Mus musculus: one gene and its partners. The protein of the gene in region 2 interacts with the protein of the main gene of each other region in a pairwise test. Links are inferred from orthologs where the notes say so. Each region holds a gene or a part of one and is shown on either strand. Other genes may lie near its edges.

Region 1 (4,296 bases), on a different chromosome or scaffold from region 2:
CAGTGTAGGTGCTGGGAACTAATTTATTCAACCAATGCTTTATACAAAGGGTCTAAGAAATGTTTATTGAATAAACAAATGGAACTCTAACCACATTTTTATGGATAAGTCAAGAAACTCCGTCTCTTCTGTTCAGACTTTTGTATTTGAGAGCTTAGGTCTTGTAGATAGCTATCAATTACCTATGGTAAAATGATAATCAGGGATCAATAAAGTGTATTTCCAAGTTAATAATTTTCCCAATTTTGCCTTTCTATAACCAAACTTCAGTTATCTCTTGGCTAAAACAAAAAAGATTGCAATCATCCTGGTAGTCATCATTATTCACAATTTCCTTTAGTGGCAAGATCCTGCAGCTAATTTTTCCTGCATTCTTACTGGCTGTGAAAATTCTCTTGCCTTTATGTAAGTACTTATTATTCTGTAGGTTAACTATAATTAGATTACTGTCATTCAGCTTCTCATTAGTCAAACTTCTCTAGAGAAAAGAGAGGCACATGAGGTAATAATGATCACCAGTTTGCAAGGTATGCCTACAACCTAGATGCAGTGCCACCCATTTTCCAAGCAGCAATGGCCTGTATTCCTCATAGGTCTTCAGTACAGTATAGTTCCGGGTAAAGATATGAGTATAGTAGTAAGTACGCCAGACATGGTGGCCCAACCCTGTAATCCCAGCAATTGGGAGCCAGTCAGGTGAATCTCTGAGTTCAAGACCAGCCTGGCCTACCTAGAGCGTTCCACGTTGGCCAGCGATACATAGGGAGACCCTGTTTCAAAATAATAGTAACAATAAAATAACTATCCGGCCACTTCATTCTTTTCTTTTTTTTTTTTTTTTTTTTTTTTTGGACAGGGTTTCTCTGTGTAGCCCTGGCTATCCTGGAACTCACTCTGTAGACCAGGCTGGCCTCGAACTCAGAAATCCGCCTGCCTCTGCCTCCCAAGTGCTGGAATTAAAGACGTGCGCCACCACGCCCAACTGGACACTTCATTCTTCATAACAGCTCTGAGAAACTTCAGGATCCAAGGGCCACCGGGCTGTCAGACAAACCCGAAATCTGTCACCTCTCTGGCACTCAGACTTGGGGGTGGGGAGGGGGCGTTAAGTGACGCCGCAGTGTCGCTACTACTTCAAAGCAAGCCACTTCTGCGGCTTCTCGCGAGCGCTACCTTCCGGCACCGCCCTTGAAGCGGCACCAAGCCGTCATTCACCCTCTAGGAAAACCAGCCTTGCCGTGCCCAGGGCGGAGCTGACAACACGAAACACCCTAGGCCGCTCCACTGCTAGTGGAGTCCCAGAGCCCGGCCTACGCGCCACATGGCTGAGCCACACCGCACCGGAGATCTTCACCGCTGGCCACTCTAGCCGTTGCCGTCTCTTTGCTCCCAACCTGACGTCATCACTGGGCGCCGCAGTGCAGTGGTGGGCACGCGCAACCAAGATGTCTCCGACGCCGGCGCTTTTCAGTTTGCCGGAGGCGCGGACGCGATTTACGGTGAGCTGAGGGGCTGAAGGCCGTGGTTCTGACCTGGCGCTATTCTTTCCCTTTCTCTCGCTGAAGGGACTGAGGGATTTTCGCCGCCGGGTCCGTTCCTGGCCCCTTCCGGGACTGACATTAAGGGAAAGGCGCACTGGCTACGCGTCTGTGGGTCCTGACCCTCCCTCCGCGGGCAAGTCCCGAGACCCCTGGTCGTTACCGTCGTCCTGCGGGCGAGCGTGGAAAGCTCACCCAGGCTAGCTCAGTCAGCTTCAGCTCATTAGCTAGCTGGGCGGGACGGGTTTCTCAGGCAGGAGCCCTGAAGTCAGTTTCCACCCCGCCAAGAAAGGAACCTCTCCCTCTGCCCCTTGTCCTCAGTCCTGGGGGTAGAACGTGCCAAGCAAAGAACTCCACTACTGAATTACAGCATTTAGATAAGTAGTTCTCAAGCTTTGCTTTGTGGTATTGTCTTTTGGATTGTTGTTGTTTAGTCAGGGTTTTGTTATGCAGCCTAGGCTAGGCTGGAACTCAGAGAATTCAGGTTGACCGTAAACTGATGTTTCCCCAGCACTGGTTACATGATGCCCCATCAAACTTAGCAAGGTTTTTTTAAAGCAGGAAACATAGATTGGTGTGATACATAGGAAAGGGAAACCTGTGGCGCAAATGTCTAGTTAGCTCTTGGCAGGTTTTCATGGGATAAGGATTACGATCACTAGAAATAAAAGTTAATAAAAATGACTGGCAGAAAATATTTCCCAGTTTAAAACATTTTTTTTTTTTTAGTTAGAAAGACTTATAATTGATGAATGGTAAATTTTTATAAACAGCAAAAGCTTTCTACTTATTTGTCATTTTTATTTTTGTAGAAATCTACCAGAGAAGCCTTGAATAACAAAAATATCAAGCCGTTGTTGACTGCCTTCAGTCAGTTACCTGGCAGGTAAAGCACACTGTCCATGAAAAGAGGACTCCATGATGTTTGTGAACTATTTGTGAAATGAAGGTATTTTATGTTTTTAATAGTGAAAATGAAAAAAAATGTACCCTTGACCAAGCTTTCAGAGGTGTTCTGGAAGAAGAAATTGTAAGTATTTACCCCCTTTGTTAAAATATGCTGGCCGGTTAATAAGTCATGTTGTTAAAAATTGCTTTATTATTAGAATGGATATTTAAACATGACATGTTTTCTGGGCATGAGCATTCTGCCTTTGAGACAATGCATTAGGCTCTTGATGGCTCAGGTACAGTTTAAGCTTTGATGATAAGAAATGGTTTGACATTCAGTCTTAAAGAGCAAGAAGTAAAGACTGACTCAGGGAGATGCCTCAGCAAGTCAAGGCACTTGCTACAGAGCGCCATGTCCTGACTTTGGTCTCTAGATCCTAGATGTTGGAAGGAGAGGACTCCTGCAAGTTGTCCTCTGACCTCCATAAAGAACACACACAGGTACACAAAATACAGTTTTTAAAATGTAGTTTTAAAAGTAGAGTCTCACTTTGTTATATAAATGATGACACACTGTGTAAAAGTGGTCTAGTCCAAAGATGTTAAGCATAGAGCGAGGATTCCATGTCCTCATTTTCTTGTGGGATTTTTCCTCAGCTATAAGCATACATAAATAACTAAGGCTTGTTTAACCCTGCTGAAGAAATTTAACCATGAAGAATCTAAATATTACCTTTAGCAGGGATCCTGAATGAAAGATTTTTTAACATTTATATTTGATTAAGCAGAAATTGGGTCCCATGGTGGTAGATTCTCTTCTGATGACCATAATATAGTATCCCCCCTCTTTTTGTCAGATAATTCTGGGTCAGACCAATTGATCTTTTTTTCAGCTTTAATCGTTTCTCTGTTATGAGGTGCTAAGAAAGTCACTTTTCCTATTGTTACCTTCCTGCAGAAGGCCCTCTGCTAAGTCTGCAGTGTTACTATGGATTCAGTCCAGGCCCTGCTTTTGTCCTGCTGTTGCCTTTCACCCACAACCTTAGAACTTCTGTGCCCAATAATCTTATAACCGTAGTCATGCAAAAGTTAACATTTCACAAGTTGGGTTTTGATTGACTCACTCTTTACTGCTTGATATACTTAGTGTGTATATTACTGTTCATGGTTTTTCATCTTATAAAATAACTTTGTATAAGATATTTTCATTCCTGTTTGTATGACTGCTTAATTTCATAGAACTTGTCTTTATTGTTAACAAATTAGTGCAAATTCTTGCTTCTAAATAAACTTGTTTCTCTGTTGGTAGATAAATCATTCCGCATGTGAGAACGTTTTAGCTATTATTTCTCTTGCTATTGGGGGAGTGACCGAAAGTAAGTATCTTTCTGTTTCTCCTAAAAGTTGTTTTAGATCTGACCTGTTTTATTTAAGACTCTCGACATACCTCTTCCTCTGTCTGGTTTTGTTCATCTTTTATGTGTGTTGCTAGAGACCAAATATAGGGCCTCATGCATGCTGTGCTACCACTGACCCACACTCACAGCCCCTGCTCATTGTTTGACTCCTTCCTTTGCCAAGAAGATGTTCCTACTTACTGCTCATCACGATTATGTCATGTACATTACAGTTTGTTTGTTTTCAAGTGTTTTAATCATATATCAGTACTTAGTGAGCATTTATTGTATGCATGTACTAAGTTAGGATTGGGAGGTTCAGTGTAAGAGTCTACTGGGTAATGCAGGGCAGACGTGTGTGAGTGTGTGAGTGCTGTAAGCGCTATGGTTAGAGTTTGTTGATGAATTTTAAAAAGTAAGATGAGCTTGGATCTGTGACAAATACCTATTATCCCACACTTGTAAGGCTG
Region 2 (4,215 bases):
GCAGGGATTATCCTGTCGAGTTTACCCCCTCAGCTTAGGGTCTCACATACAGAAGAGGCGTGGCATTTATTAATGCTTGTGTGTCTATACAAAATGTAAAGTTTCTCACCGAGGCAGCAAATGAGTGACCTGCAGGACAGTGCATAATGTATCTTAAGCCACTATACAAACATGAGCAGAATCACAGCTCTCAAGAGTCCACATGCCATTCTGCAGTGGAGAACATAAGGAAACTTTCCATGTATTCCTAACTCAGAGTAATCTATCACACTCCCAAGACTACATGTACACACGGTGACAGTCTGGCCTTGATTCTTTGTGTAGTTCCCTCCCTTAGTAGAGAGAACAGCAGCTTTGCAAGAACCAGAACAGCTCTCATTACTGCCTGCTTCGTCTTGGGCATACATCCATTTCCCAGGTGATCTTAGTTTCCCTGTATGTAGTTTTCTCTTTGGAGGTAGGGCCTCCCTCTGTAGTTCTGGCTGGCCTTGAGAGGCCAGTCTTCCTGACTTTGGCTTTACTTGTTAAGCACTGGGGTTATAGGTGTGTAGCACCAGGGTTGGAAAAACACAAACCTTCATCTTCCCTTTCTCCCTCAAAATTCAATATTGATGGGCCTACTACTCGCCACAATCTGTTTATAGTCTGGTTCCTGTCAAACAAGCAAGTTCCTATCCCCTAGGTGCCAAGAGTTCAAAGAACTAAGTCTGTAATTTCAGTGGCTTTCAGATTCACACTATAAAAACTTTTGTTCAGCCTAGTGTAGTTGTGCAGGCCTTTAATTCCAGCACTCAGGAGGCACATTTCTGAGTTTGAGACTACCCTGGGTCTATAGAGTGGGTTCCAGCACAGCTAAAGCTGCACAGAGAAACTGTCTTAAAAACAAAGCCAAAAAATTATTTTCCTTCAAATGTAGTATTACAATGTATACAAAGATCAAATATTTTATTATCATTTCTTTATTACTCCAAGAAAATGATATTTAGAAGCAGACGTTTTGGCAACATATCAGATAGTCACAAACCTAAAACTAGTTGTAGAACTGACCACAGCATTCAGTTGTGCTTTTTGATTGCACAGAATCGATAACTGATTTTAATAAAAGAAACTAAATATCTTAACCAGCCTTGGCTCAGGGTCTTCAGCATAAATGTGGGCAACACCTGAAAACTATTGATAACTGATAGCACCATCACATATGACTATTAAACATGCATATAAACTTTTGACTTGCTGGGACACTGTACTAGCAGAATGGTCTTTTGATTTAAATAATTATCAGTGTAGAATGACATCATTTTTATCAGTAAAACATTGGGGAGACATTCAGTAAACAACACGACAAAGGGCGAGTTACTTTGGCAGCATAAAGAGTGGATGGGCTGATCTCTGCAATGAGCTCTTCCATCTTGTTCTGCTCATGACAGCCTTGGGTCTTGGGTCAAGTGCAATAGCCTTCTAATTCGGCCTGAAGGAGGACCTCTTCTTCTTCGGCCTCCTTATCTTTTATCAGTGTCAGCAACTGCAGTAAGCCTGGGGCTGGGCTACCCTCCGGCAGCCCAAGCTCTCTTCGAACTGATTTGTGGACTGCCCCAGCAATGACTTGGTCTAGACGGGCCTGATTCACAACTTCTTTCTCAATTGCTCCTTTCTGAACCAGTTTCTGCAATAAAGGCTCCAACCTTAGAACATAGGCAGACAGCTTTTCATCAGTCTTCTGATAAGTAGTAAGGTATTTGACCTGCAATGCTCTAGGATTATCAATAATCCCAAATATTGTCTCAAGCGTCTTCAGGCATTCTGCAACTGTAATGAAGGGGTTGTTTATCTTGAGGACTCGAATAATTTCAAATGCTGGACCTCTAAGGCTCTCTATCAACCGCCTTCTTTTCTCTACATCTGACACCTGCCATGTTTTCATTACTTGGGAAGTATGAAACATCCAAGATTCAAATTCTTCCTCACCTGGTCCTGGAGGATCCCTGCCTGAGAACACACTCAGCTTTTTGTACCTCAGATACTGCAGGGTAGGCTTAAGGGCCTCATTTAATGCCTGTGCTAACATGGGTGCTCGAATTTCAGGGATCATTATGCCCGGGTCTAGGCCGAGAGGGTCATTCCGATTCCCAAGAACTCTGGTTAATTCACCCATCGTCATGCCCTCCCCCTTTAAAAACTCATTTAATCTGCACAAAAAGTCACTATCAGTATCAGGAGGCTTAAAGATCACTCTCCAGACACCTCCTTTTGCAGGTATTTCCTTGGGGACCAGGGCACTGCCAGTCTCTACTGTAAGCCCAATCAGGGCTACATTCTTGTTCTCATCCCTCCTGAACATCCTCCCAAGCAGTCTGTGTTCCCCTAAGGGAGCAAGGCCAGCCTGCAGGGCCTCCTCTATGTCTGCCACTCCGCAGGTCGGAGGGATGCCGGCAACCAATAGTGCTTTCCGAGGATTCATATCCATCCCTCTGCACCAGTCTTCTAGAAGTCTCAGTGTCATGGTGCTCAGAGTATTTAAATTCTAATTCGACCAGGGCGCCGCCGCCGCCGCCGCCGCTTACAGTGATGTGCGTGCTCGTCTCTTTAACACGCAGAGGTCCGGGAGCCTGAGAAAACAGAGCATCCACGTTAAGTTAACCGTGTCTGACTCCCGAGCAGTTCCTCCGCCCACCCGCCACAGGCGCTTAGAAACGAACGCCATCAGGATCACCTGCCCGTAGATACATCGCTTGGGTCCCGGAGAGGACGTCTGACCTTTGCGGGGTTTAGGAGAGACCCGGGCTCCCCGCGCCCGCCTCCCGGCCGAGGGCAGAAGAACGACCGCAGCAAACGCCTCAGGGAACAGACAACCGCCTCTGGAGGCGGCGCGAAGCTGACAGCCTGACGTCATGAGAGGCCGGCGCGCGTTTCCGGCCCTAGACGGAAGCTCTGAATGCGGCGGTATCCGGGACTGCGAGCGGGCGGGCCACTCAGGACAGGAAGGTGAGACCCGGGGCTGCTCGGCTTGGCTGTCAGGCTGGCCCGGCGTCCGGCCGGGAGCCGAGCTCGGGCCTCTGCAGGCCAAGCCTGGCGCCACTGCCCAGCTCAGCTCGGCGGCGGGTGCAGTGGGGGGCGGGCCCGGCATCTCCAGGTGGTTCCCCCCGCCTGGGGCTCCGGAGGGCGACGGGGCCCGCCGCCGCCGCGTGACCAGCCGTAGTCACGCTGAGCTTAATCACTACTAGCTCGTGCTCCCGCCGCCGCGCTCACCTTCTTCAGCTGCGCGACCCAGAGGGTTTCTCTTAAGGTGGCTTGTTCTGAAATGCCAAAGGCACCTGACTGTTCAGAACTGAGTGACTCTTGCTCGCTTGCAGGGGGAACAGGAAGATTTTCGGGACCACTGTAAGTGTTTGAAAGAGTTACCGTCTTAACTTGGGGACTCCGACGTTGGTTTAACGAGTAGAACTCAACCCAGTGCCCACGTCTGAAATAGTGTTAAGCCAGAAAGCATTTCAACTGTCAAGAGCAACGTCCTGTGGGGAAACTAGATGTTTCATTATCTGAAACGAAGGTGTACTGGGTCTACTCAAGCAAGAAGTGATGATTCATTCACTCTGGGGTTCACATAAATAACAGCACTCAGTAGACACTGAAACCAGTATTTTTATGTGCTTACAACTGTTATATAAAACCACCTGTAAGCTGTTTACAGCTGTTAAATCTTAAAATGCTCGTGCTTTTCAGAACTCTTGAATTTAAATCATGTGCACTTGGAATAGTTGCCATGGCAACATTATTAGACCTTAACAATAATTTTTCTGTGTTTGCATTGAAGGCACAGAGCATGGAGAATGATGAACTTCCGTCAGCGGATGGGATGGATTGGAGTGGGACTGTATTTGCTAGCAAGTGCAGCAGCGTTTTATTATGTTTTTGAAATCAATGAGACTTACAACAGGTTGGCTTTGGAACACATTCTGCAGCACCCTGAGGAGCCTCGGGAAGGAACCACATGGACACACTCCTTGAAAGCTCGGTTACTTTCCCTGCCCTTTTGGTTGTGGACAATTATTTTCTTGATTCCGTACTTACAGATGTTTTTGTTCCTTTATTCTTGTACGAGAGCGGATCCCAAAACAGTGGGCTACTGTATTATCCCCATATGCTTGGCAGTTATCTGCAATCGTCATCAGGCATTTGTCAAGGCTTCTAATCAGATCAGCAGACTACAACTGATTG
Region 3 (3,634 bases), on a different chromosome or scaffold from region 2:
GTGTGGAGGCAGAGGTTTATGTCAAGTGCCTTCCTTGATGGTTATCTTAATTTTTACAGTTATGTTTATATATTTATCTGTCTATGGGCACAGTGTGTATATGCCATAATGTTTGGAGGTCAGAGGACAACTTGTGGTAGTTGGTTCTTCCTATCTACCATGAAGGTTCCAGAGATCCAGTTCAGGTCATCAGGCTTGGTGACAAGCCCCTTGACCAGCTGAGACATGTCGACAGACCTTTTTTTTTTTTTTCCCCACCCTATTTTTGAGACAGGGTACTGTACCTGGAACTAATGAGTTTTGATAGGCTAGCTGGACGGGAGTTCCAGGGGTCCACCCTGTCTCTGCCTTCCCTGGGGCGGGCTTATGGCACTGGTTTTTACAGGGGTGTTAGGGGTCCTTAGGCGTCTGCAGCTATCACTTTACTGACTGAGACTCTGCTTTTCTTTTTTTTTTTTTCATTTCCCATTTAAGCAACAACCATCACCACCACAACAAAACAGAGCAAAAACAAAAACAAACCCAAAAACCACCGACCTTTATTGTGTGTGTGTGTGTGTGTGTGTGTGTGTGTGTGTGTGTGTGTGTGTGTGGACATCAGAGGACAATTGCCACAGTTGCTTCTTCACCTAAGGATTAAACTCGAGTCCTGAGGGACTAGCTGTCTTGCTGGTCTTCTTGGGTTTTTTGTTTGTTTGTTTGTTTGTTTGTTTTCGAGACAGGGTTTCTACGTATAGCCCTGGCTGTCCTGGAACTTACTGTGTAGACCAGGCTGGCCTTGAACTCAGAAATCTGCCTTCCTCTGCCTCCCAAGTGCTGGGATTAAAGGCATGAGCCCGGTTGTCCTCTTGTTTTTGAGATAAGTTCTCTCTCTATAAAGCTCTGACTTCCTGGAACTCAATATGTAGATGAGGCTGGCCTTGAAATCACAGATGCCTCCTAAGTGCTGGGATTAAAATCATGCTACATAGCAAGGTTGAGGCCAGTCTGGGTTATAATGAGACATGGTCTCAAAAAAAAAAAAAAAAAGTTAGAGCTCAAGACATGGCTCAGCAGCTGAGAGTACACACTCCTCTTGCTGGGGACCTGAGTGTTTAGTTCCCAGCACCCATGTAGTTAGAGCACACCTGCCTGTATCTCCAGTTCCAAGCAGACCTGACCCTGCTACTTCTCCGGGCACTGTACACACTCATGTGCATATACCCGTATGTATACACATAATGAAGGCATCTTCAAAAAGAAAAAGAAATGAATAGGAGCCAGCAAAACTGTGCTAGGATCACAGGTGCATTCTACCACGCCCCATCATTGCAGCTCTGGGCATGGAAGCCTAGCAAGGCAAGCACCGAGCAAGCTGAGACCCACCCCCACCCTCATCATCAACTGTTTCTTACTTGTATGTTGGATTGTTGTGCTTCTCCCTGCCAGAATGTGAGCTGAGGGGAGAATCTTTCTGTTTATTGTCACTTGCTGAATGAGTAAAACTGATGAAATGTGTTTTAAAATCCCACTGGGGTAAAAGTAATAAAATTAGTGTGAATGAGATACTTTTAGCCACGACTCATGACTTATATTGTTATCATTTAACATTGAATACATTATCGAGTCCTCAGTTTCTCTTAGTTCAAAACTTTTCCTGTTGCTACCTCAGCAGTCTCCCATTAGTAATATTACCACTGCCTCCAGTGATTTGATGTCCCTCATGCACTTAGCCATCCCAGGGAAGTATTACTGACCCAGCATCGTGACCAGGGCTTATCAGGCTTGGGGTGGCTTTGGTCCTGTAGCTTTCACTTCAGCTTCTCCTTTTTCTTGCACAGGGGATCACCCACGGCAAGATAGCATGGATTTCAGTAACGAATGGGGAGATCCTTCCAATTGTCGGTGTGGGGACAGACTGAAGCCACTGGAGCGGAGAGCTGCTCGCCAGCACCAGCGATGTCTAGCCCATTCTCTGGTTGGGACTCCCAATTATATTGCACCTGAAGTGCTACTGCGAACAGGTAAAGCACTTATTTTTTTCACCAGTATTTCAGTAGTATTTTAAAGCAGCCAACCTTACTTTAGAATATACCCTATTTCTTTCAGGTTTAAGATAAAAGTGCTTATTTTACATTATAAAGTGTTAACATAATGCTAATGTCTGTATTCTGAGCATTTTAAATGCATTCTTGTGAATAATGGTATAATTTTGGTACCTTTAGGATATACACAGCTGTGTGACTGGTGGAGTGTTGGTGTTATTCTTTTTGAAATGTTGGTGGGACAACCTCCTTTCTTGGCACAAACCCCATTAGAAACACAAATGAAGGTAAGGTGTAGCCTGCATGAAAAGTCATCAGCCCTTCAACCGTGAATCTTCAAGTGTGCTCTCGTACTCATGTGTCTTTCCTGAAACACTTGAGACAGAAGTATTCCATTCACATTCTTTCAGATATTGTTTTGTTTTGAGACAGGGTCTCAAGTGTGTTGCTCTGAGTAATCTGGAATTTACCATATAGACCAGTTGGCTTCAAACTTGTAGAACTCTGCCTCTGCCTCCAGATTTTTAAATGCTTGCATATTCACACTAAGATTTTAAACATGACATCATTGTATATGTTAGCCAGCCTGATGGTAATTTTACATTGTAGTTTTAGTGTACCTTTATTTCTTTATGGTTGGTTTGGTTTTTTGGAGCAGTAAGATTCAAGCCATGGATATGCTAGACCTTTGCTCTAACATTGAGTTGTACCCCAGCTCCTGTGAATTCTTTGTGAATGTAATCAACATAGCTCAGGTATAGAGCTCTCTACTTATGATATCATACCAACATTAAGAATTTTTATGTTTTTTAAAATGATTTATTTTACTTATATACTACACTGTAAGCTAGCTGTCTTCAGACACACCAGAAGAGGGCATCAGATCCCATTACAGATATGGTTGCTGAGAATTGAACTCAGAACCTCTGAGCTCTCAGTGCTCCTAACTGCTGAGCCATCTCTCCAGCCCCCGAATTTTTATGTTTTAAAGTATTTCAGATTTTGAAGTTTTTGGATTGGGAATGTTCAACCTGTTTAAGCCTAGCATAGCTTTACACACCTTAAATTCCAGGACTTGTTAGACAGAGGAAGATCTCTGTGAGTACCAGGATAGCCTGGTTTACTTAGCAAGTTGCACAACAGCCAAGGCTACTAGATCCTGCCTGTCTCAAAAATCAACAAATGGGGATGGAGAAATGGCTCAGCAGTTAACAGCACTGACTGCTCTTCTGAAGGTCCTGAGTCCAGCAACCACATGGTGGCTCACAACCATCCATAATGAGATCTGATGACCTCTTCTGGAGTGTCTGAAGACAGCTACAGTGTACTTACATATAATAATAAATAAGTCTTTGGGCTGGAGTGAGCAGAGGTCCTGAGTTCAAGTCCCAGCAACCACATGATGGCTCACAACCATCTCTCCAGGTACAGTGTACTCATACATAAAATAAATAAATATTTTTAAAAAAATCAAACAAATGGCTGGGCAGCAGTGGCATAGGCTCTCAGGAAGCAGAGGCAGAGGCAGGCGGATCTCTGAGTTAGCAGACAGCCTGGTCTACAGAGCTAATCCCAGACAGCCAGGGCTACACAGAGAAACCCTGTCTCAA

What was found.
Region 1: the proteins of Moap1 (region 2) and Thoc1 interact in binary tests that used the Homo sapiens proteins (3 or more experiments, as listed by UniProt). The two-hybrid records come from large-scale screens. The link is inferred for Mus musculus from reciprocal best matches to the Homo sapiens genes MOAP1 and THOC1.
Region 3: the proteins of Moap1 (region 2) and Lats1 interact in a two-hybrid assay, tested with the Homo sapiens proteins (2 studies listed by BioGRID and IntAct). The two-hybrid records come from large-scale screens. The link is inferred for Mus musculus from reciprocal best matches to the Homo sapiens genes MOAP1 and LATS1.

Annotation. Positions count from the first base shown.
Region 1 is NC_000084.6:9,956,748-9,961,043, forward strand, and holds the start of Thoc1 (THO complex subunit 1), read left to right. Parts: upstream 1-1,432; 5' UTR 1,433-1,445; coding exon 1,446-1,499; intron 1,500-1,563; exon of another isoform or gene 1,564-1,674; intron 1,675-2,350; coding exon 2,351-2,424; intron 2,425-2,507; coding exon 2,508-2,568; intron 2,569-3,738; coding exon 3,739-3,805; intron 3,806-4,296. UniProt on the Homo sapiens protein: Component of the THO subcomplex of the TREX complex which is thought to couple mRNA transcription, processing and nuclear export, and which specifically associates with spliced mRNA and not with unspliced pre-mRNA.
Region 2 is NC_000078.6:102,740,789-102,745,003, forward strand, and holds the start of Moap1 (modulator of apoptosis 1), read right to left. Parts: upstream 2,874-4,215; 5' UTR 2,755-2,873; exon of another isoform or gene 2,711-2,754; intron 2,607-2,710; coding exon of another isoform or gene 2,584-2,606; 5' UTR 2,501-2,583; coding exon 1,442-2,500; 3' UTR 1-1,441. Other genes in the region: Gm20604 (AK010878-Moap1 protein), read right to left, coding at 2,584-2,606; Tmem251 (transmembrane protein 251), read left to right, coding at 3,299-3,378, 3,812-4,215.
Region 3 is NC_000076.6:7,708,645-7,712,278, forward strand, and holds part of Lats1 (serine/threonine-protein kinase LATS1), read left to right. Parts: intron 1-1,820; coding exon 1,821-2,003; intron 2,004-2,204; coding exon 2,205-2,311; intron 2,312-3,634. UniProt on the Homo sapiens protein: Negative regulator of YAP1 in the Hippo signaling pathway that plays a pivotal role in organ size control and tumor suppression by restricting proliferation and promoting apoptosis.